Linked DNA regions of Yarrowia lipolytica. The main gene of each other region encodes a partner of the protein of the gene in region 2 in a complex. Links are inferred from orthologs where the notes say so. Each region holds a gene or a part of one and is shown on either strand. Other genes may lie near its edges.

Region 1 (7,603 bases), about 350 kb from region 2:
GACTTGTGGGAGAGTAAGAAGCAGCGACCTATCAGGATCCGTGTCTACAATATTTTGAAAAACTGGCTGGAACACAATTGGCTGGAGCCTATTTCACCCGTGACACATGATCTGCTTGGTCAGATTGAGACATTTGTGTTGCAGATGGTGAGTCAGAACTTCCCCGGTGCCAAGCAGCTGTTGACATCCATTCAGGTGCGCCAGAAGGGCGAGGAGCTCAAGAAACGCATGATCCAGAACCCTGCTCCCACGCCTTCTCCGATCATTTCTCGAAACTTTAAGCGACAAAAGCTGCAGGACCTGGACTCTGTGGAACTCTGCCGCCAGCTTACAATACGGGAGTCCCGTCTCTTTTGTGCCATCTCTCCCATTGAGTGTCTTAACAAGGAGTGGAACAGCAAGCGTGGCACCTCTGGCGGAGGAGAGCCGTCGAACATTCGAAAATTCATCCAGAACTCCAACTGCTTAACCAACTGGGTGGCAGCCTGCATTCTGGCTGAGAAGGATACCAAAAAGCGAGCTTCTGTCATCAAGTACTTTGTGCAAGTGAGTGAACAGTGTCGGCAGATCAACAATTTCAGTTCAATGACAGCTATCATTTCTGCACTTTACTCGTCGACGATCCACCGGCTGAAAAAATCGTGGGAGCTGGTTTCTGCTAGAACTATGGCATCTCTGGAGAACATGAACAAGCTCATGAACTCCACTCGAAACTTCAACGAGTACCGGGACATGTTGCATTTGGTGAACCCACCCATCATTCCGTTTTTCGGCGTTTATCTGACGGACTTGACGTTTGTGGCAGACGGTAATCCCGACTTTATAAAGGGTGAGCCCAAGCTGATCAACTTCAGCAAGCGAACCAAGACGGCAGAGATTGTGCGGGAGATTCAGCAGTACCAGAGCATTCCATACTCGTTCCAGGAGCTACCGGAGGTGCAGCAGCGAGTGGCTGCTCGATTCAAGGAGGCTCCGAGCATCGACGACCAGTACGAGACGTCGTTGGCACTGGAGCCTCGAGACAAGCAGCCCTCGAACGATAAGATGGCCAAGATTCTCCAAGAGAACGGATTCTTGTAAGTAGAGAGGGGTTAAGGGAAGAAGGAGGAGGAAAAAATATGTTAATTTATTGTTCAAATTGACTACTGTACTTGTAACATGGCACAGTACGTAGCAGAGGTCAAGGTAACATGTGCATCACTCGTACATACTGCATGTTTGTGCTGCAAGGATATGTAAGGGGATGCAGGTACGATACATGGTGTGTGTGCTTGTTCAAGCAGGGGTGAAAAGGGAAAATGGTGTATTAGTTGACATTGGTTTAGTTGGAAGGTTCTAGTAGAAGCAGTCTAATTGTGTGATGTTTCGGCTTGGTTCCGATGTCTTGTCATGTGTGTAGGATCTAACTGGGGTGGTGTCTAGCGCGTCATTTACACAGGTCATTAAGTCAGTTTCGCGTCACTCCCTCCATCAATACGACTCACGCACCTCCTCTTCCACCTCTCCAATGCTGTCTTCGGAGATTCCTTGGAAGATTTGCAAATGTCTAGGTTTTGGCGACAGTATGGCGCTTGAGGAAGCCCATGCCGAATTTGAGCTGGAATCCGTGCTGAAACCGAGCCGGTAGCGAGACCTAGAAGTCAGATCCCAGGTGACAAACATGGTCAGTCGCAGCATCACGGATAAGCCAGTGAACCGATAAGTCCAAGATAATGCCAAGTCAATGGAAATCTTTTGTGATGAACCAGATGAACTACCAGTGCCATCTGTGACCATCAGTGCCATCACCACTCATCAACTGCACCGCCAACTACAATCAATGGGACTCGTGGTAAGTGTGGGTTGGATTTCAAGCCTCACACGAGCTGCCTCCATTTCAAGCGCAGGCACTCCCTCAGTCTTTAGGTTCTCAGGAGCTGTGGCGGACCTGCGATAGCGGTCTTGTGGAACCATACATACTGGAGATGTTTGGCAGCCGACCCTGTTGCTGTCTATTGTTTTGACCTACTCGGAGCTGCAGGGTCCAATGCGCGGGCTTTTGCACAGACCGGGGCCCGTCTGATAGTCAACTATCGCCATAAACAGACCCAGAAAGATCCGGCTGGATGAAGATGGAGAGAACCACTGGTACAGATTGCACCTGACAGGCCTTGCGGGGGTTGCGCTCGTTGATGGCTTGAGCCGAGCGAACCGTTGCATTCACGCCGAGGGCATCTATACAATGGTCTATACAAGGCGGGAGTGAATGACAATGACGACTTGATTATGGCTACTCTTGACTGTCCTTTTTTCGGGAGAAGATAAAAAACATGACAGGTTCGAAATTTACCAAGACCACCGTCATCCATGGTACGGTTTGGCCTTCTTGAGACCTGGCAACGTGTTGATCCATGTGTTCCATCTTCTCAAACAAACGGTGATCAAGGTCCGAGGACCGCGCGGCACTTGGCGATGCACTCCAGGTTATCTTCTCCCGGGTCCAGGGCTTTATCCGACACCATGACAACAATAGTGAGCTATATTGAGTGGGTCTCCGACGAACTTGGTGACTAGGCATTTAGGTATGACTTCTTCCGACACTATTGGCAATGATTCGAGATTGCGATGCACGGGTTGGCCCACTTAAGTCAACAGACTGACAGTCGTGTGAACTGTCCCTGGGGCGTAGAACTTCCACAATCTGTTTCTGTTCATCGGACTCTTTCGCAGGGCTTGACTGTTACCGTGACTTGGTTACTTGGCTTCGAATGACATGGATATCGAAGGACCCCTGGAGCAACCGTTGTTTTGCTCTACACCTACCAAGATGTGTGAAGCTCTGTTAAAACCTGGTTTACGCAGTACCGATCAGCGACCACGAATATGTGATTGATATGGAGGCACAGCTAATGTTCCCTGTTTGTTACTGTGAAGAAGCCAGCTTTCTTGAGGTTTTGGACGGCAAACTGGGCATGGGTATTCTGGGGGCTTGACCAGAGCGTGAGCAAGGCGTTCTGAAATGACTCCAAGTCATTTGACAGAGAAATGATGATGGAGCGAACCACTGGAGCGAACCACTTGGGCAAAATGAGCGTTTAGCTCTCCCGATACGATACTGAACTTGGGTAGATCTGGCAACATCCCTACAGTATGTACAGTACGGCCAGTAACATCCGAGTGAACCTCTGTTAACGAATGAATCTCAAACGACTTCTCCTCTGCTGAAGACTTGGAGACTCTCAGGGACACAGGACAAGAAGTGAAGTGTTTGTTACCGAGCCCGGAGTTTGTTTATAATCGCAGGCTGGGCTTTCCCTTCTGTTGACACCTCCATCGATCGGTTCCAGGTCTTCAGTCACTCTCTACACTCAGACAATCAATCATAAATATATTACATGCATTCTATCCTTCCCATAACGTGTTTGGCACGTCTAAGCTCACTAGTTTTCTCTCCACTGGTGGAAACAGGCCGTACATCTGCAAAACTTGGTCATGGGCTCATCCGCAGACCGAATCTGCAACATGTAGAAGTAAGCACCCATGTTGGAACACTTGGGACACTGCGAGCCAGGGTCCTTGTCGACGTTCTCCCAGGCGTTCTCTCCACCGAGAACACTGTCCACCTTCTTCTTTTCCAGGACCTTTCGGTCATACACGATGGTGCCGTCCTGCAAGTAGTACTCGTAGGGACATGTCCGGCACTCGAACCGCATGCCGTTTCCGCTGGTCGACAGCTGAGTTAGTATATGGAGTGTCAATGGTGATTCAGCATGCTTAAGTGGAGTGTGTAACGGGATCAGCAACGAGATCAGTCACGAGATGGGGACATGGTAGATGCGGTGAAGGAGAAAAGCGGACGGTAGATGCGCACACAAATACTTTTAGACAAATCTCAACCTAGATCGAACTCGGCAACCTCTTCTCTCGGGTGTGGTCGATGACTAGCCACTTCATTGATCTGCAAAAAACCGTAAGAGAAGAGTAGAATTGCACATAACTAGTGATAAAGAAGTTTCAAATGATTTCTGACACCTCACCCTCTCTCGCCTCTCGCCCCTCGCCTTTCGCCTTTCGCCTTTCGCTTCTCGTCTCGTCTCATCTCGCCTTCATCCACGCGACCTATGATCTGGTCGTTCCTGGCCCAATCCTGACTCAGCAACCGCCCTCAATATCCCCCCGTCCTACTCACCGTCAACATGTTTGTACAAGTGGGACAAAACGTTAGCATCCTGTGTTTGTGTCGTCTGTGCTGGTGTGAAAAACCAAATAAAAAAGTCTGAAATTCAAAATATAAAAATGGTGGTGGGCGTTTCTCATGCACCTCTGAGTTTTGATCAGTGATTGTCACCACCATTACAATACAATACGGCGCACTAGAGCGACGAGACGGCGACACTTATCCAGCACCGGGGTTCGAGTTCACCAAGAGATTGTTTATCGGTTCCTTTTTAATCTGACCGTTAGAGCATCACCACTGGACGACATACATACCGCAGAGGCGACAAACCCCAGACGGCGCCCGCACCGACTAGTTGTACCATTCATCACATGAGCAGAAGAAAAGCACCAGTTTCGTATTCCGGACTGGACACCAGTGACGTCAGCGATGAGGACTTTGAGGTTGAAGACGAGGTGAGCACACCCAAGAGAAGAAAGACCACGAGTCCGAGAAAACAGACGCCGAGAAGGACGGCGTCGCCTCGAAAGGCACCGGGAACGCCGTCACCGGTGAAACGGTCGCTCCACGACAAATCGGCGCGAAAAAAGGCCAACAGAACACTACTGGATCAGTCTCTGGGACTGGTGAGCGAAGACGAAGATGAAATTGAGCTGGCTGAACGGATCATTGGAGAGAGCCGGGCTCCGATTCTCGACTCGTCCAACGACTTCCACACCGACGAACGGTCGCTGGCCAACGTGGGTGCCCTGATTGCGGCTGAAGACCGCGTTCTGTTCCTGGACTCTTCAGAGGGATACTTTGACCAACACAAGACCCGAGGACGAGGTAACGCCAACACCATGGCCAAGGCGCCTGCCATCGACCACTCCGTCTTCTTTAAGTACACAAACCAGGCCAATGAGCTGTTTCATGCCGACCAGAAGAAGATGCTGCGGCATGCTTACCGCGGAATGTTCTCGCAATGGATTTTCGAGCTTTCGGAAGGGTTTTCGTTGCTGTTTTATGGTCTGGGAAGCAAGAGGGAGTTACTGACTGACTTTGTGTGCGAAAAAGTGGACTCGGAAATCCCCATTCTTGTCATCAACGGATACAATGCGTCTGTCCAGTTCAAGTCGGTGCTCAACAGCGTGGTGGACGTTCTCTACGAGAATCATGAGGACATCTTTGCGAAAAAGGGCTTTGTGGTACGAAACAAACTGCCCAAGGATGTGGATCTCTTGGTGAAACTGGTGGTTGACACTATGCGAGATATTGAAGCTGGTTCAAAGCCGTCGTTGGTGGTCTTGTGTCACAATGTTGATGGCGAGTCGTTGCGGATCGACAAGGCGTCTACTCATCTGTCTCAGCTCATGAGTATTTCTCAAATCTGGTTTGTTGCATCTGTCGATCATATTATGGCTCCTTTGATGTGGGACTCTGCCAAGCTGGCCTCGTACAATTTTGTGTGGCATGATGTGACCACGTTTGCTCCCTACACGGTTGAAACGTCGTTTGACGATCCGCTTTTGCTTGGTAAGAAGGCTGAGGCCCAGGGTGCCAAGGGTGTCAAGTATGTACTTGAGTCGGTCACTCCGAACCATCGAAGTCTCTACAAGAACCTCATTTACTGTCAGCTGGAGGAGTTTCACAATGTGGCTGACAAGAGAAAGCTGCCTGAGGCCGAGGTGGGTGCTCTGACAGGAAGTACGTCCATTTCTGTGGATTATGACAAGGTGTTGACGGAGTGTCTTAACGAGTTGACGGTTTCTAACAAGAAGGATTTCCAGGAGAAACTCAAGGAGTTTATGGACCATAAGATGGTGGTTGCATTTGACGACAAGATGGGCATGAAAAAGCTGTACATTCCCTTTTCGAAGGATGTTGTGCAGCAAATTCTGGAGGGATACCTTGACGCCTAGTGAGGTGAGGTTCACACAAGGCTCAAGTGGGTGTAGGTCATGGCTGCAGATCATGTGGTCATAGAGCGTTCCACTCTGTATATAACAAAGATGTAATACGCAATTGATTTTCATGTCTGCAAGGGAATACTCCGACTAACATTCCCCGAGTTCATGTCAGTGGCTCGGAAGATGGCGTCGCTGCAGCAGTCTTGGAGGCTTGTTTCCGGTTACGTTGCACTGTTTTCATATCCTCACGGCCTCTTCGAATCCCACTCGTCGTGTTTCCATTCTCCGCAATGGCTCCGGAGGAAGGCTGGGGAGTTCGTACTTGTAGGTCTGAGCTACGGATACCAGTTCCAGTTCGACAACATTGTCGAGCATGAGTGGTTGATTCTGTTTGTGTCGACTTTCTGGGAAAGTGCTGCCACTTCGGAGCCTGGTTTGCCCACCAGTTTGAGGACGTGCTCATCTCCCGCCCACAATCTGCCCAGACCCCCGATCGAAGCCTCTAGGCAATCAGTTGTGTGGCCAGTCGCTTCAATGTCAGCTCAACCGGATGTGTAGGAACTTCTCTCTAGTAGCCCTCTTAAGTGATAAGCAGCATCCTCAGACTCCACAGACACAAGTACTCGCCAACAGCAACCGGACTGCCCGAATACAAGCCTGGTTGTGGCTGTAGTTGACGGACTCTGCGGAGTCTCGCAGTAGCAATAGACCGGTACAAGTCAGCAGCAAGAAGAGGTCCACTCTGGGAGCTTGCGTGTGCACAAGCGTCCATGTGTGACAGCTGGAGCGGAGGGATCTGGGCTTGTGGTAGAGATATCGACGGAGAAGAGTGACAAGTCTTCCACGTTCACAGCGGTCACAGGGCACAGGCGCAGGCACAGGTGTTCTTCTATGATGGCGATGTACCCAGCACAGCACCCAATGAGTAGACCGCGTAGGCCAGAAATATGGCACCCACACCGACTAGGACCTGTAGGCGTACAGACACAAGACTGGGAAGAACAGAAGACAAGGAGACGCTAACAAGACGTTAACAAGAGGCCATGAGATGTTGAGTGGTGAACAGCGTTCCTCCTGGTAGTTGCAACTCAAAATGAACCTGACCAACTGGATACAGAAGTGATGGGGACGCAAAAATCACCAATTTACGCACAATATCGCACATTGTGAGCCGTAGTCTCTTCCATTCATGTCATCGAAAGATGACTGTACAGTATTTTACACACTCTAATTGTGCTGAAATACGTCTTCTCCCCACAGGATCGTTCAGCTGGTTGCTGCCATGTCTCTTCACACAATCAATGTGATTTGCACCAGACTTGCAAGTCATGACGCCTCCGTAGATGCAATTTCTTTCGGCGAGGTCCTGCTGAAGTAGGAGTGGGCGTGGTATCGCTGCCCGCAGTCGTGAGTCGCCTGGTCTGTTGCTTGGACATCTTGATTCAGCACATGTTGGGTCACGAGCCATTTTCGCCGGTAATGTCCATCATGACCTTGGGCCCAATCATGGACGGCCTGAATGTCTCGTTCCAAGAGGCTGATTAGATACAAGTGCTGA
Region 2 (7,546 bases):
AACAGAACGGGTATTACGTGATATTTCTTCCTTCAAGTACTCCCTTTATACTACTGTCTTCTAAATGTCTTCTAAATGTGTCCACGATGACATCACATGAGGGTTATTGTTTACATTCTGGCTGGGAGTGGGGCAGTAGGACGACATGAAAGTGCACGTTTTTGACGTAATATTGTGTCAATATGGCCATTAGGGACATATTTGGAGTCCCTGCAATGGAGAGAACTAGCTCCTCTTTTCAGATTTTCGCTAGCGTTATTATTTCGTCTGAGAAGAGGGTCTCTAAACCACAAGTACAAGTGCACAGTAGTACATACATACAACTACGGGAGTAGTTTTGACTCAGCCAAACTGAAACAAACTCGGCCCTGATTTACAATGAGCAGACAGACGGAGTGTAAGAAGCAAGTGTCGGAAGAAAATTGTCTACAGTCAGGTTTGCAGGACGAAACGATTGCCCCTTTTGGGCTCTGTTCTCTTTTTTGGGGGGGTTGTGATGGCCTGGTGAGTTTGCTCGTTTGTGTAACGTTTGTGCGCTGTTTGGTTTCCGAGCAACCATTGTTAAACAACCACCTGCGCCCCAGCTGCACCAGTCTAGTACGCGACCTGGCGGAGCACAACATTACATATACTGATCGTCCCCGAGATAGGAGAACTAAACAACTGTTACAGGTTTGACTTGTCAAGAAACGACATAGACACGACACGGACCGACGATACGAAAGCATCTGCATAACAGCCTCCACGTCATAGTACGAATTCTCCACTTTACAAGTAGGTACATTCAGGCCCTGTGCAACACCAGCAACCACCGCAGGTAACAACAGAAACAGCCACAGCCACAGCAACGAAACAAGTTCAACACTTTCAGAAGTCTTACAACAGCAGCATCTCATCTCTGCGAAACACACGCATAATGGCATCGGCAAGCTCAGAACTATCACGGCTGGCCAATCTTACGCCACGGTCTATTTCCGGGTCGTCCTCGACATCTTCCTCCACAACATGTCCGCCCAGAAACACGTCACGTCCCAGCACAGCAGGCTCCAACTCGTCCATACGCTCGCGACATTACTCGGCCGACCAGTTTGAGCTGCTGGAGGAGCTGGGCTCGGGCTCTTTTGGAGTCGTGTACAAGGCCATCGACAAGGTGAGCGGGCAGATTGTTGCGGTCAAAAAAATCGACCTGGAGTCGTCAGAAGACGACATTGAGGAGATTCAGAAGGAAATTGCAATTCTATCGGGCTGCCAAGACGAACACATCACAACCTACTATGGCTGTTTTGTCAGGGGATACAAGCTGTGGATCATCATGGAGTACTTGGCTGGAGGATCGGGTCTGGACTTGCTGAAACCAGGCATCTTTCATGAACCCGAAATTGCAGTCATGTGCCGTGAGCTGCTGGAGGGACTCATTTATCTCCATGACAATGGCAAGATCCACAGAGACGTCAAGGCGGCGAACGTGCTTGTGTCGTCAGAAGGCTCTGTCAAGCTGGCGGACTTTGGAGTGGCCACACAGCTGAGTAATAACATGAGCAGACGAAACACGTTTGTGGGCACGCCGTTCTGGATGGCACCCGAGGTCATCAGACAGGAGGACTACGACACCAAGGCGGATATCTGGTCGTTGGGAATCACGGCCATTGAGTTTGCCAAGGGAGAACCTCCTTTGAGTGAATACCATCCAATGAAGGTGCTGTTTCTGATCCCCAAAGCCGAGCCGCCTACTGTTCCTGCTGGAGGCAACTGGTCTGCAGATTTTCGAGATTTTGTGGCATGTTGTTTGCGCAAGAACCCCGCTGAACGACCTTCTGGAAGACAGCTTCTGAAACATCGGTTCATCCGCAAGGCTGGAAAGACAAGCCAGCTCAAACTGCTGGTTGACAGACGGGAACGGTGGATGGAGCGACATCGAAAAACGAAGCCCAAGAAGATGGCTGTGGAGACGGTCGTCAGCATGGACCAGGTGGAGGAAGAAGACTCGTGGGACTTTGGTACCGTCAAGATGGAGACGTACTTGGACAAGTCCATGGACAGCAGTTCCAGCACAATCAATCCCGCTGTACTTCGACAACTGACCATTAGTGAGAACAATGCACCGGAAGTGACATTAAAGAACCCTTTGCGAAAAGTGTTCATGTCTTCCGAGTCGCTTGGCAACAGTGTCAAGTCGGTCTCTTCTGTTTCTACGGCTGCTGATGGAGACACAATCAAGGCAGGTCCTCCAAATGTGCACGCTCTGGTGCGGCAATGCATAGAAGAGACGTACATGGAGATTGGTGGTGAATCAGCTACTAACACGCAACAGCATGCGATGCGACGATTTGCCAAGGGCTGGAACACGCTGGAGCAGGTGGACTCTAAGGCAGAATTCTTCTTCGTCAAGCAGCTGTTTAACCAGATTATCAAGAACCCCAAGTTGGTGGAGCAGATGACCAACAAACGAACCAGCAAGCGGATTAGTGTGGGACAGCAGAAGGAGCGAAAGAGGGATCAGGTGGAGGAGTTGATGTTAGGACGGTGGATCGAGGAGTTCGAAGAGTACGATCGTTACTAGACGACCACCTGTGTACCCCCAGATTGTACCCTCAGATTAATGACTTCTCTCACAGACAATTTACAGACAACATCCACAAGTGTACAAATAGCATAATGCATTGATTGATATTTAGTTGTACTTTACATTCCAGGGTCTGTAACAAGCCATAATATTCACTCTCTCGACTCTCTGAAGTTCGTCTCCGAGATCAACCAGTTGAGGTTACTTGTATCTTCAACACCAAGTCCCCGAACACGCACGATATTGGCCCTCCAGTTCAACCAGACGTCCATGGCAAATTATCTCCCCTACGATATCCCTCTGGATCTTTTATCTCTCAGTGTTGGATTACATAGTTGCGGATGAGGCGACAGCCAACAGATCATCTACAGCACTGTCTCTAGCCAGAGCGGTACAGTGTATTATCCTAAGATGGTCGTGGTGCCCTCAACCTCACCAAAGGGACTTTTTAACACTATGTAGCTTTTACTCCTTGCCACATCCGTTATAAATATCATCTATTCTAATTATACAAACATCTACAATAAGAGACGCTTCATTGTACCGATGCTCCAACATTGGCTGTCGCTCGTACAACCGCCATATTTTTCCAGAAGGCCATCACTCCAGCCATGGCAGCTGTCTCGTTGCTCCATGTTGCACTGTTCCGTTCGTGAGCATACTTCGGACGGACACTCCCTATAAACATCTCGCAGCCATAGTCACCGGATCAACATAGGGCACACTAATGGCCTCCAGGTACTCGTCTCTGGTCGTGGAGCACTCCAGTTTGTCCTTCTTTTCCGCCGTCAGCAGCTCACCAACATCCCAAGTATCCTCCTGGTCACGATCTCGCCACTGCAATGTGACAAATTCCTCGTCCTCAGCCTTCTTGACTGCCAGCAGAGCCCCGGAAAACCGCGGCGTCTGTTCGGACGACGACTTGACTGTCATCTGAATGGCCTTGGGCTCATTGGCGTTCTGGGCTGTCCGTTTGGCCGCGGCAGCAGCAGCAGGGTCCTTGATGTTCTCCTGGTTCACATGATCAAACGAAGGACGCAACAGAGCAGTGGAAACAATGGGGTTGAGGTGAAGCTCATTGTTCTTGAACACACCCACCATGTTTTCCTGCGGGTTGGACTCCACTAGGTGGCCCTTGAGCGTCTGGTTGTCGATGTTCTTCCATTGTGTGCCCTTGGCCTGGTCGTAGCATCGATCTGTGGGCACAGGCACGTCCACCTCCACCACGCCACTTTCCTTCTTAATTCGCGACTCGGTGATACCTGTGGCGTGCGACGAGGTGTATGGCGAGTCCACCGACCGAGCAGGGTACTGGTACAGGTGGATGTTGCCTGCCAGTCTGGTCGAGAAGAACACCGGGAACTCCTTGACAATAGGATCGTCTTGGTCGTCATGCTCGGTTACCGGAGCAACATCCACGTCCATCGCGTCTTCGGTCTTGACCTCCACGTCTTCATCCGGCACAAACAGGTCGCTCATGGTGTGTTTCGTGTCTGGGTCTATGTTCGCTTAAAAAAAATCACGGCTCGATTTTGATTATGCATTGAGAAAAATTTAGACTTCATGTTCGGCCACAGGGAAGGAGTGGATGTTGAAAGAGAGGCATGATTATATGGCAAGGGGTGGTTTTTATTAGAAAAATTGCCTTTATCAAGTTCAGTAATCTCACTGTAAACAAAAACCTATCAAAAAAATGTCGTTTTTAGACCTTCTATAACACGAGCTTCCCATGCACTGTTTTTTTTTTTTTTTTTTTTTGGGGGGGGGGGGGGTTTGTTAAGAGGTGAGAGGGGATGAAGGGGTATTCATACTTGGCCATGTATGTTCATTCCAGAGGCTTATTGAATATATACCATTTGGAAAAATTAATGTCGGTAATAGGTTTTTTTAACAGTTCATGTCCCTAAGAGCTGGAAAATATGGAGTTAGTCGTATCTATCCCCTTGTATTAAGAATTAGTTAGCTAGACCAACAATGATTGCAATCAAGCAAAGTTATAGTATCCCTCCGGTACTCAGGGGACGACGCCCACCCTGGGACATGTCCAACAGGGTTTGCTTTCAATTTCCTGAAGGAAGCCCAGATGTGTTTTTACGATGGAACCGCCAGCACTTCACGATGAGCGAGAGTAGAACACAGTAGCAAAGCGTAAAAGGGGGGCCGGAGGCCACCGAGAGAAAGTAGCAGGGCGCGTAGTCACCCACAGGGGACGCAAACCAAACCAATGACGAAGAAGAACCACAAGGAGAATTTCAAAGGCAATGCAAATGAAGAGGGCAATGGAAGGATTGAGATTAGAGAGGAGACTGGGGTGGCGTTTTCCGATGAACGAACAAAAACACGCGAAGCTATGTGGCACAACATACAACACGGAACTGAACCAGGTTTTTTTTATGATTTTTTTTCGAAATAGGGTACGCCAAGTTGGACATGACACTAAAACGTGTTTTAATTAGTAATATTCGTGTAAGCGTACATTCATTTCAAAGGTTATTCTTTCACGGCAAAGTTTATAATTAAATGAATGATATGCAGAAAAAAAAAAATTTCTACGATTGGACAACCGCCAGCACTTTCACGATGAGGCGAGAGTAGAAGACAGTAGCAAGCGTAAAAGGCGGCCGAGGCCACCGAGAGAAAAGGGTAGCAGGGCGCGGTCACCACAGGGGACGCCAGAACCAAACCAATGACGAAGAAGAACCAACAAGGGAGACGTTTTCAAAGGGAATGCAAATGAAGAGGGGCAATGGAAGGATTGAGAATTAGAGAACTGGAGACTGGAGGGGGCGTTTTCCCGATGAACGAACAAACACGCGAAGCTATGTGGACAACATACAACACGGACTGAACCAGGTTTTTTTTATGATTTTTTTTACTGGAAATAGGTACGTGCCAAGTTGGACCATGACACTAAACGTGTTTAATTAGTAAATATTCGTGTGTAAGCGTACATTCATTTTCAAAGGTTATTCTTTCACGGGCAAAGTTATAATTAAATGAATGTATATCAGAAAAAAAAAAATAATTAAATGAATGTATGCAGGAGAAAAAAAAACTGAGAGTTGTATTAGAGGAAAACGTATGACGAAAGAACCACTGTGCACGTGCTTGATGTCATGTTCTTCGCTGAAGCTGTTCCTTTCTTCAATCAGAAGATCTATTAGTTCTTGAAAAAGCACAGTACAGTATTTGTAGGTCTTCCTGTGCTCCATACACAAGCCATTTTGCTTGCACAGCTCTCGACGACAAAAGACATTTTGTCAAGGGTGAACTTGTACGATTCCGAAGTGACAATTCCTAAAACAGCTCATTTTTAACTGGTAGATAGAGTCCTCCAACAACCACAGTATGTACTTGTATACAGTTGTACAAGTACGCCTCCCACGCTCGATAAAATGCATGTATTCCTATATTGTATTCTGGGAGATGGGCAGTAGTGGAGCCGGTCGTTTCCATTGAGGGGTAGCCGCTCCGTTCATGTCAGGGATCACGAACAAGCTGTAAAATCATGAGAAAGCAGTGGATAACAGGGGAACACTTACCAACTAGCCGCGCAACGTTTGATCCAGAAAGTGTCACTCTGTTCCTGTTTTTAGACTACGCGCTTCGCTGATAGCTCACTCATAGCTACAACTTGCTCCCACCCCCTCACAACTTCTCCTTCTTCTCCAATGCCTCCTTTCTCAGCTGCGTCGAACTCAGCTTGTCAGCCCAATTGTCCTCCTCATTGCCCTTGCCACCGACAATGTTGATTTCAAATACCGTTAGCTGGCTCCACCCCTTCTCCTCTCTCACCTTGTTGATGGCAGCTCCTCCACCTCGAGTCTCGGCAGACAAGACAAGAGCATCAATATCGGGATCCGAAGCAGTAGGGCCATAAACATCGTTAATCATGACAGGCTGAAGACGAAGGGGAGGGGAAATGTAGTTGAGAAATTGGGTAACGTGGCTCTCGCGCACATCGAACGACTCCATGGCCTCGGCGTACTTCTTCTTAGTCAGCAGCTGAGGGCCCGTGATGCCCACAATCAGCTTGTCCCGCGTCAACCAGGCTGCCAACGTAAGCAGAATCTTGTGGCCGGCGTGCAGGTGGTCAAAAGTGCCACCCAGAGCAACTACAGAATACTGCTCCTCAGAAGCATTCGCCAGCAGCTCCTCGGCCTTGTTGAGCGTCACGGGGTTGGCCACGTGATCAGGGGTGTTTGTACCCCCGGTCGTATGTCCCTCGGGATGTTCATGGTCGAACTTGTAGCCTGGCTTTTCGTAGTCCATCTCGTAGCCACTTCCCTCGTAGCCTGTAGAGTCGTAGGAGGGCTCCTGAGACTTTCGGGACTGGTCAAACATACCGGGGTCTGTAGCTTGTGGCAGAATAATGACCGGAAGGGTGGATACAGTGGCTGAGTGGATGAACGAGTCTCGGAAGGAAGAACAGAGGTCCGATTCTGTGTTAGCATAAGTTCGATGAGGTCCAAGGGCAGAGAGAAAACGTGCCACGTGTTGTAGACCAAGATGTGAGATTAGTCGATCTTTTTTGTCATGTCAAGGGTGAGATTATATGTCTCGTCAGAATACATGACAGATGACATCTTGAGGACTGTGCAATGGCGTCGTTGATGGAGGAAAGAAGGGCAGCATCAGAAAGACACAACAAGCTGTCCACCTGGCTTTGATCGTCTCATATCTGGTGCTCAAGCACGAGTAAAACTTTCACACTCTCCGTGCAAATGCAACACTCGCTCTCAGATCACGATCCAGCTCACGACATGACTAAATCAGCAGCATGACGAACTGATCTGTCATCTCTGACACTATCAAGCTCACTTCAAGGTCTTTCTCACGACCCCGCGGCTCAGATAATGAGACTTTCGCCAGAACCTGGTCTTCTGCGTCCTTCGGAAGCTGGCTTCGCCCGCTGGCAATACTCACCAAACTTGCCCGCCACCAACACCTCCCAACTCTGCTGTCGATCCAACTTGACATTTT
Region 3 (7,413 bases), about 150 kb from region 2:
AGTAGTAAGACAGGAGCCGGTGCTACTGTATACGGTGTACGAGAAAAACTGTTCTAAGTACAGTATTTGTACTTGTAGTATGATGGAGATGGAGTGGATTGACTGGAGAGTTGTGATTAATCGGATGATGGTGTTTATGGGGGCTTGTCTAGTGCCCAAATGACCTCGAAAACGTCTACAACGACTGTTCTTCCCACTGTTATACACACACTTTTGCATGTTCATGTTCATGTTCATGTACAAGTAAATGGTCCATATCTGCCGAAAAAACACCCCCAAATATGTGTCTAGCGGACATAAAGAGCCGTTTAATTCACTTGTTGAAGTGATTTTTCTTCTTCTGATCCAATTGATCCACTAGAGTCTTCTCTCTCGCCTCGTGTTACTGCTGCGACATATGTTCAGATAAAAACATACCAGATGCTTTGGTACATAAATAAAAGATTGTAGATAGATATTGAGCACTTGTGTATTCTTCCAAACAACTTCTTACTTCTCTAGTGTACTGCCGTCGCCCATGGTGGTCCTGGAACAACATCTTAGGCTCTTCAAACACATATCTCCGTCACTGGAGCTAGAACCAGAAGAGAAGGGTGTATGGGGACTTCAAATATGTATTCCAATAGCTCATAATGACCGGATTTAATGGTATTTTCTTGACATTTGAACCTCCTCGAGTATTTCAGATGGTTCTATGCCATCATGACACTCGAGACTCACTCCACAACACACGCTCAAGCACCAGCAGAATCAATAAAAATATACAGTCGCATGACAATTTCACCACAAAAAGCCAACTGCAGCTTTTGGAAAATATTTTCCTCTCCTTCCACGAGATTCCGCAGGATTCTACCGCTTAGTCAGCTTATCCAAGACAAGACGCCTCGCCACGCATTAAAGTTATCCCAACTTTTCTCTACTCTTCGAAATCTTGATTTCTTCTGCTAAGTGCACATTCAGATCAACCACAAAATCAACAACAATGCAAGCTCCTGTCGTTGTTATGAGTGAGTATTGCGTGCTACCGCGTCCCACGACTTGCCCCGTGTTGTCCGCGACGGGTTTTGCGGCACAAATCGCCACCTAGGTCTGGTGTTATGCTCTACGTGTAACTCCAACATGACTAAGAACACCATGCGAAATGGTACCCGGTGGATACAAAAGGGGCCGCAAAAACACAATCGACGAACAACTACTAACTGCAGACGCCGGCCAGGAACGTCAAATCGGACGAAAGGCCCAGACCAGCAACATTACTGCTGCAAAGGCGTGAGTATGGAGTGTGGAGGGTGGAATTGGAGGGGTGGACGGCCTCTGAAGCAAATTGGAGGCAAATTGGGGCGTTTGGGGTAGCTGTTTTACCCTTTATATGTTGTTTGGACTTCCAATTTGGCTGTGGACAGCTGCTTCGGCCATCTTTTCTTATAGGGCGGACATTTGATTTGTGGTGATATCAAGCTGTAGAGTCGTGTTTGGGGGAATGCAACACCACCATTGAACTCCTCCCGACGAGTCGACTCCGCCGGTTCCATCATTACGCTTATCCAACATCCACCACCCTCAGAAATGTCACTAACCCAGTGTCGCCGATATTGTGCGAACGTGTCTTGGTCCCAAGGCCATGCTTAAGATGCTTCTCGACCCCATGGGAGGTATCACCCTGACCAACGATGGTCACGCCATTCTGCGAGAGATTGAGGTCACCCATCCTGCAGCCAAGTCCATGATCGAGCTGTCTCGAACCCAGGACGAGGAGATTGGAGACGGAACCACCACCGTCATCATTCTTGCCGGAGAGATTCTTGCTCAGACCTTCCCCTACGTGGAGAAGAACATTCACCCCGTTGTCATCATCGCCGCCCTCAAGGATGCACTTGCTGAGGCTCTCAAGGTTGTAGAGGAGATTTCTGTTCCCGTTGACGTCAACAACGAGGCTGCCATGAAGAAGCTCATTGCCGCCTCCATCGGCACCAAGTACGTGTCCCGATGGTCCGAGCAGATGTCCTCTCTGGCTCTCAAGGCCGTCAAGACCGTTGCTGTCGACATTAACGGCAAGAAGGAGGTTGACATCAAGCGATACGTCCGAGTGGAAAAGATTCCCGGAGGTGAGATTGAGGACTCCCGTGTGTTGGACGGTGTCATGATCAACAAGGATATCACCCACCCCAAGATGCGACGGCGAATCGAGTCTCCCCGTGTGGTGCTGCTTGACTGTCCTCTCGAGTACAAGAAGGGTGAATCTCAGACCAACATTGAGATCAGTAAGGAGGCCGACTGGAACCGAGTGCTGCAGCTGGAGGAGGAGCAGATCAAGGCGCAGTGCGAGGTGCTGCTATCGGTAAAACCCGACCTGATCATCACCGAGAAGGGTGTGTCTGATCTGGCCCAGCACTATCTGCTTAAGGGCGGCTGCAGTGTGCTTCGACGAATGCGAAAGAGCGATAACAACCGAATCTCACGAGTCACTGGCGCCACCATCGTCAACCGAATCGAGGACATCAAGGACTCCGACGTTGGTACTCTGTGCAACCTGTTTGAGATCTCCAAGATTGGTGATGAGTACTACACATTTATCACAGGCGAAGACCCCCAGGCATGCACCGTGCTGCTGCGAGGACCCTCCAAGGACATTCTCAACGAGATTGAGCGAAATCTGGCTGACGCCATGGCTGTGGCTCGAAACGTCTTCTTCGAGCCCAAGCTGGCTCCCGGAGGAGGTGCTACAGAGATGGCTGTGTCCGTGCGACTGGCCGAGCATGCCAAGACCATCGAGGGTGTTGCACAGTGGCCCTTCAAGGCCGTGGCTGATGCCATGGAGGTGATTCCCCGAACCCTGGTTCAGAACTGTGGTGGTAATGCCATTCGAACTCTGGCCACCCTGCGAGCTAAGCAAGCCGAGGGTTTCTCCACATACGGCATTGACGGTGACAACGGAAAGGTTGTTGACATGAAGGAGTACGGCGTGTGGGAGCCTGCTGCCATCAAGCTGCAGAGTATCAAGACCGCCATTGAGTCTGCTTGCTTGTTGTTGCGAGTCGACGATATCGTGTCTGGAGTTAGAAAGAAGGGCGAGTAAAATGGGTTTGGATAATGATATTATAGATGTTTTGCGACACACTGCAGTGTAGTCATACCGTTTACAACACCGATACTGCCTTTGAAAGTTGATGGCTCTGTACAAATCTTGGTGTAGACATTGGGCTGATACTGTATACACTCCGATGAACAAGACCACAAAGAGAAACAAAACTGGTAACGGTATTTATGACACTATCAACTCTCGTGTGTACTTGTACTTGTACTTGATTGATCAATCGTTATTGTTCATTAAATTATATGCAAACGTGTCCTCCACACTTTTCCGTAGTATACATTGTTTTGGGTGTGTCATGGTTGAGTCGACTGCCAAAAGCCTTGTCTTCGGCATCTGCTCATTGTGAACTCGCTATTCAGCGATAGCATCCTCTTCACTGACCAGAGTTGTTCTAATCGCGTCCAGAATCTCCTCACATTGGTCCTCATTGTAACGCTGATCGCACTCCTCGATCAGGGAGTATAACGACACGATAGACGTGGGCACGGAGTTGATGAGCTGCAATCGCTCGGCCTTTTCGAGCCCCAGATGGTTGATCTTCTGCAGAAACAACGTAATGGCCTCTGGCGACTGGCTGGCAGCAGGAGACTTGTTGAGATAGTCCTTGAGCTCGTAGATGACGGTTTCGAGGTTTTCGGCATGGGAAGTGCCCTGGTTGGAGGCTGCCGACGCGGATTGGGACATTCGTCGGGCACGCTCCTGGTCCCGCACGTGAGCCAGCACCTCAAAGTTGGACAGCAGAGCCTCTCGAGTTTTTTCCACCTTCATGTTGTTGATAATACTGGTATATTCACGACAACACTTTTTTTCTGAATTATGCAAGGTGTGCATGAACTCACAGCATCTTAGGAGATCCACACACGTGAGTACAAGGCTGTAAGATGTGCCAAGACACCCGAAACGGATATCTGTGTCACTGTGATGCTGTATTTTTGAATACTCTCGGATCGGTAGATTTTTGCCCTTCTCAAATTGTGCGCTTAGTAAGCAAGACCACAATCCCAGAGCTGGTTTAATTTAAGCTTTGGAACTCCCAAATTTAAATGTTTTACATCTTTGGGGATCGAACCTACGACCGCACGTTGTCCTCCTGCCTCTGTTTTCATGGCTCTTAGGGCTAACCCTAAGTGTCACATGATATTTCCGTTTTGGATAGAGTTGGACTCGGAAAATTGCAAACGAAAGTTCAGTGTGTAAAGCACCAGTTCTTTCATCATCACCGGTCGACCCATAACTACACGCCAAAATGTCCCTCGTCGTCACTGAACAAGGCAACTTCCAGCACATTCTTCGGTATGTACAGACAGCACAGAGAGAACAGGGAGAGAATTTATTACACGATTATTGAAGCTCGATATGGTGGTTTGTGATGGAGATACAGAAGGCACAGAAGGTCAATGATGAGTAAAGACGGGTCATGCGACATGGAAAGGACCAAGCAGACTGAACATGTTTGAGCATTTGTTCTGCGTGTTTACACTATGTGTTCTTACCTGTTTGCGTACATTTGTCTGACTGTCAACTTCTGCCTACCACTTCGTTTTTATGATGCTTGAGATTTGATGGATCGTGATCAGTCTCATCAAGGGCCACTAATCGGTGATCACTCCCTTCAGCCACTAGAAAGTATTTTGCTAACTCAGACTCCTCAACACTAACGTTGACGGCCGAATCAAGGTCATGTACGCCATGTGCAAGATCAAGGGTGTTGGTCGACGATACGCCAACCTGGTCTGCAAGAAGGCCGATGTCGATCTCTCCAAGCGAGCCGGTGAGCTCACCGTCGAGGAGCTCGAGCGAATCGTTACTATCATCCAGAACCCTGGTCAGTACAAGATTCCCGGCTGGTTCCTTAACAGACAGCGAGACTTTACCGACGGTAAGGACTCCCAGCTGCTCGTTAACCAGCTTGATGTCAAGCTGCGAGACGATATTGAGCGACTCAAGAAGATCCGAGCCCACCGAGGTCTCCGACACTACTGGGGCTACAAGGTCCGAGGTCAGCACACCAAGACTACCACTCGAAAGGGTAAGATCATGGCTCACCGAGGTTAAAACGTGCATGTACATGTAAAATTATTAAAATGCTATTGAGGACATGTGTAGGGCTGACCAGGTCAGGCCGCGGTTTGTAGCAGGACATGTTTGGGCCGTTTGGCTGTGTGTAGACAAGTACTGTACCACCATTCCCAGCTGTGTGTGACGAGAATCACAGGTTCAAGTGCAGTGGATCACATTGGACCTTCTGCGTGCAAATCTGGGTATATCGCACACTGTGTTGAGCAGATAGCAGTCTCATCGCCTACACATGTGATTAAATATGAATAAAATTACTGTACAAACACCCTAGAACAAGTCGGGCATGTCAATGTCGCCGCCAAAGTCCATGGTGAAGTCGTCGCCTCCAAACATGTTAGTGTCCATAAACTGGTTGTCAGTGTTGGAGTTTTGCGACGAGTCGTTGATGGGCTTATTCTCAACCTCGCCCGTTCGGTTCACCACAAACGAATAGTCCTCTTTAGCATGTGGTTTGCCGTCCAGACGACTTCCGTCGGGTTTGTAGCCTGCTGTAGTCAACAACTGCAGAATCTTGGACTGCAGCAGCACGCAAATGTCCTTGCTCTTGCCCGTGGAGTCGTTGACCATGTTATCGAGTGACTTGAGAATGAGCTGTGAGTCGGAAAACGGTCGTGGACTCTTCACAGACGTGGAAATGATGAATGCAACCGTAGCAATCGTAGCAACAACTTCCACGGTATAATGGCCTGTGCCGTTGGAGTCCGCCAGCGCAATCTCCTCGATCAGCTGCTCCAGAACGTACTTATGGCCCAGAGTGTCGACCGACGACAGGATCATCACAAGCTCGTATCCAAACGGGGGACCCGTGTACTGGTTTTGCGACCAACTGATGAGTGACGACACCTGCTCCTTGATGGTGGCAATCATGGAAGCACCGTATTTCCACGTCTGCTCCTTGGTACCACTTCCTCCACCCCCACTCATACCGATTCCCTTTTGCGATCGGAAACCAGAAGACGACACTGTTCGCTGCACGTTGAGATTGTAGTTGATGGCCGAAACAAAAGGCTCGAGGAACTCAAACACCCGGTTTTCAACCATGTAGCCTGCCCTCAGAGCCATATCCAGAGCCTCGTACATTTCGTCAGCACATATAGCCAGCACCATTTGATGAATAGGAGACAAGACCTCAATGTCAGTGTTATCGGTGAGAATTAGAGTGGAACAAACAGATATAACTGTACTCATCTGCTCGTCGTGTCCCTTTTGCGAATGCACCCATAGTTGTTCCGACAACCACTTGAACACTCCCACTGTTGATCCCAACAGAAAGGGCTGCAAAAAATACTCCAGGCCTCCCTTGAAGGTCGACAGAGAAAGTAGGCCCTTCTCGTGGGCGAGCATGCTTTGTTGAAAAATGGCAGGGGTGACAAGAAAGAATTGCTTTACGGATGACGATCGCATTAGATCGTCGGAGATGCCTCCAGCGTCATACAGAGCGGTAGCCCATCCACTGAGCTGGTCGTTCTGTTCGTCGGAAAGATGGAAAATGCGTTGTGAAGAGTCGCTTTCTGTGAGAAGCTGTGACAGAAACAACTCGTGTGATGGCATGGTGCTGGAGGGCGAAGGAGCACCCACAAAGAGTGTTCCAAATTGGTTCAACAGGGCCAAATCGAGATGATAGCGCTGCTTGAGGGTGATGGCAAAGACCACAATGGCTCCAAAGTCCGTGTAAGCTTCTTGGTAGTTGGCCTCGTCCTCCTCCTCTCTCCATAGCTCAATGCAGTCGACCAGAGCCTTGAGTAATAGCATGGGATCGACACAAAGGGCCATAATGTCGACAGCAGTTGTGTTCAGTGCCAAAGCTTGGCACATGTATCGTACTGGTCGAACGTTTCCTGCCTGCACAAAGTCTGCCAGGCACACTAGCAGCCGTTTGGTCAGCGCTTCCTGTGCGTTTCCACTCAGCTTCTCCATCTGAGCGACCACCTTGGACATGAGACAGTCGGAAACAGACCCAATCTCGAGATTCTCGTAGCTCAGCTGCTCTGCCATTGTATCTAGGCTCATAGCCTGTCCGTCGATCGTCAGCTCGTCTGCGTAATCGAGGGCTTCTACGCTGATTCCTGAGTCTTTGAAAATCGCGTTGAAGGCGTCTTTGGGCAGAACTCCTTCGGAAATGCATGCAGCAACCAGTTCGTGTCTAATGTCAACGTCCAGGCCACCCGGGAACGAGGAGAACATGTCGTCTAATTCGTCAGAACCGATGGAAAGACGAATAAGGGTCACGGTAGGCTGAT

The links.
Region 1: YALI1_D24687g (region 2) and YALI1_D28213g share a complex: the UniProt entries of both Schizosaccharomyces pombe proteins name them as parts of the RNA polymerase III (Pol III) complex. The link is inferred for Yarrowia lipolytica from reciprocal best matches to the Schizosaccharomyces pombe genes rpc37 and rpc11.
Region 3: YALI1_D24687g (region 2) and YALI1_D26142g share a complex: the UniProt entries of both Schizosaccharomyces pombe proteins name them as parts of the RNA polymerase III (Pol III) complex. The link is inferred for Yarrowia lipolytica from reciprocal best matches to the Schizosaccharomyces pombe genes rpc37 and rpc17.

What each region holds. Positions count from the first base shown.
Region 1 is NC_090773.1:2,817,559-2,825,161, forward strand, and holds YALI1_D28213g (uncharacterized protein), read right to left. Parts: upstream 4,208-7,603; coding exon 4,169-4,207; intron 3,714-4,168; coding exon 3,420-3,713; downstream 1-3,419. Other genes in the region: YALI1_D28150g (uncharacterized protein), read left to right, coding at 1-1,080; YALI1_D28221g (uncharacterized protein), read left to right, coding at 4,528-6,057; YALI1_D28242g (uncharacterized protein), read left to right, coding at 6,596-6,717, 6,765-7,068. UniProt on the Schizosaccharomyces pombe protein: DNA-dependent RNA polymerase catalyzes the transcription of DNA into RNA using the four ribonucleoside triphosphates as substrates. Component of RNA polymerase III which synthesizes small RNAs, such as 5S rRNA and tRNAs.
Region 2 is NC_090773.1:2,465,157-2,472,702, reverse strand, and holds YALI1_D24687g (uncharacterized protein), read right to left. Parts: upstream 4,043-7,546; coding exon 3,242-4,042; downstream 1-3,241. Other genes in the region: YALI1_D24719g (uncharacterized protein), read right to left, coding at 324-896; YALI1_D24718g (uncharacterized protein), read left to right, coding at 917-2,560; YALI1_D24649g (uncharacterized protein), read right to left, coding at 6,212-7,005, 7,490-7,546. UniProt on the Schizosaccharomyces pombe protein: DNA-dependent RNA polymerase catalyzes the transcription of DNA into RNA using the four ribonucleoside triphosphates as substrates. Specific peripheric component of RNA polymerase III which synthesizes small RNAs, such as 5S rRNA and tRNAs.
Region 3 is NC_090773.1:2,610,254-2,617,666, forward strand, and holds YALI1_D26142g (uncharacterized protein), read right to left. Parts: upstream 3,926-7,413; coding exon 3,446-3,925; downstream 1-3,445. Other genes in the region: YALI1_D26114g (uncharacterized protein), read left to right, coding at 1,142-1,269, 1,582-3,076; YALI1_D26146g (40S ribosomal protein uS13), read left to right, coding at 4,341-4,387, 4,738-5,149; YALI1_D26186g (uncharacterized protein), read right to left, coding at 5,441-7,413. UniProt on the Schizosaccharomyces pombe protein: DNA-dependent RNA polymerase catalyzes the transcription of DNA into RNA using the four ribonucleoside triphosphates as substrates. Specific peripheric component of RNA polymerase III which synthesizes small RNAs, such as 5S rRNA and tRNAs.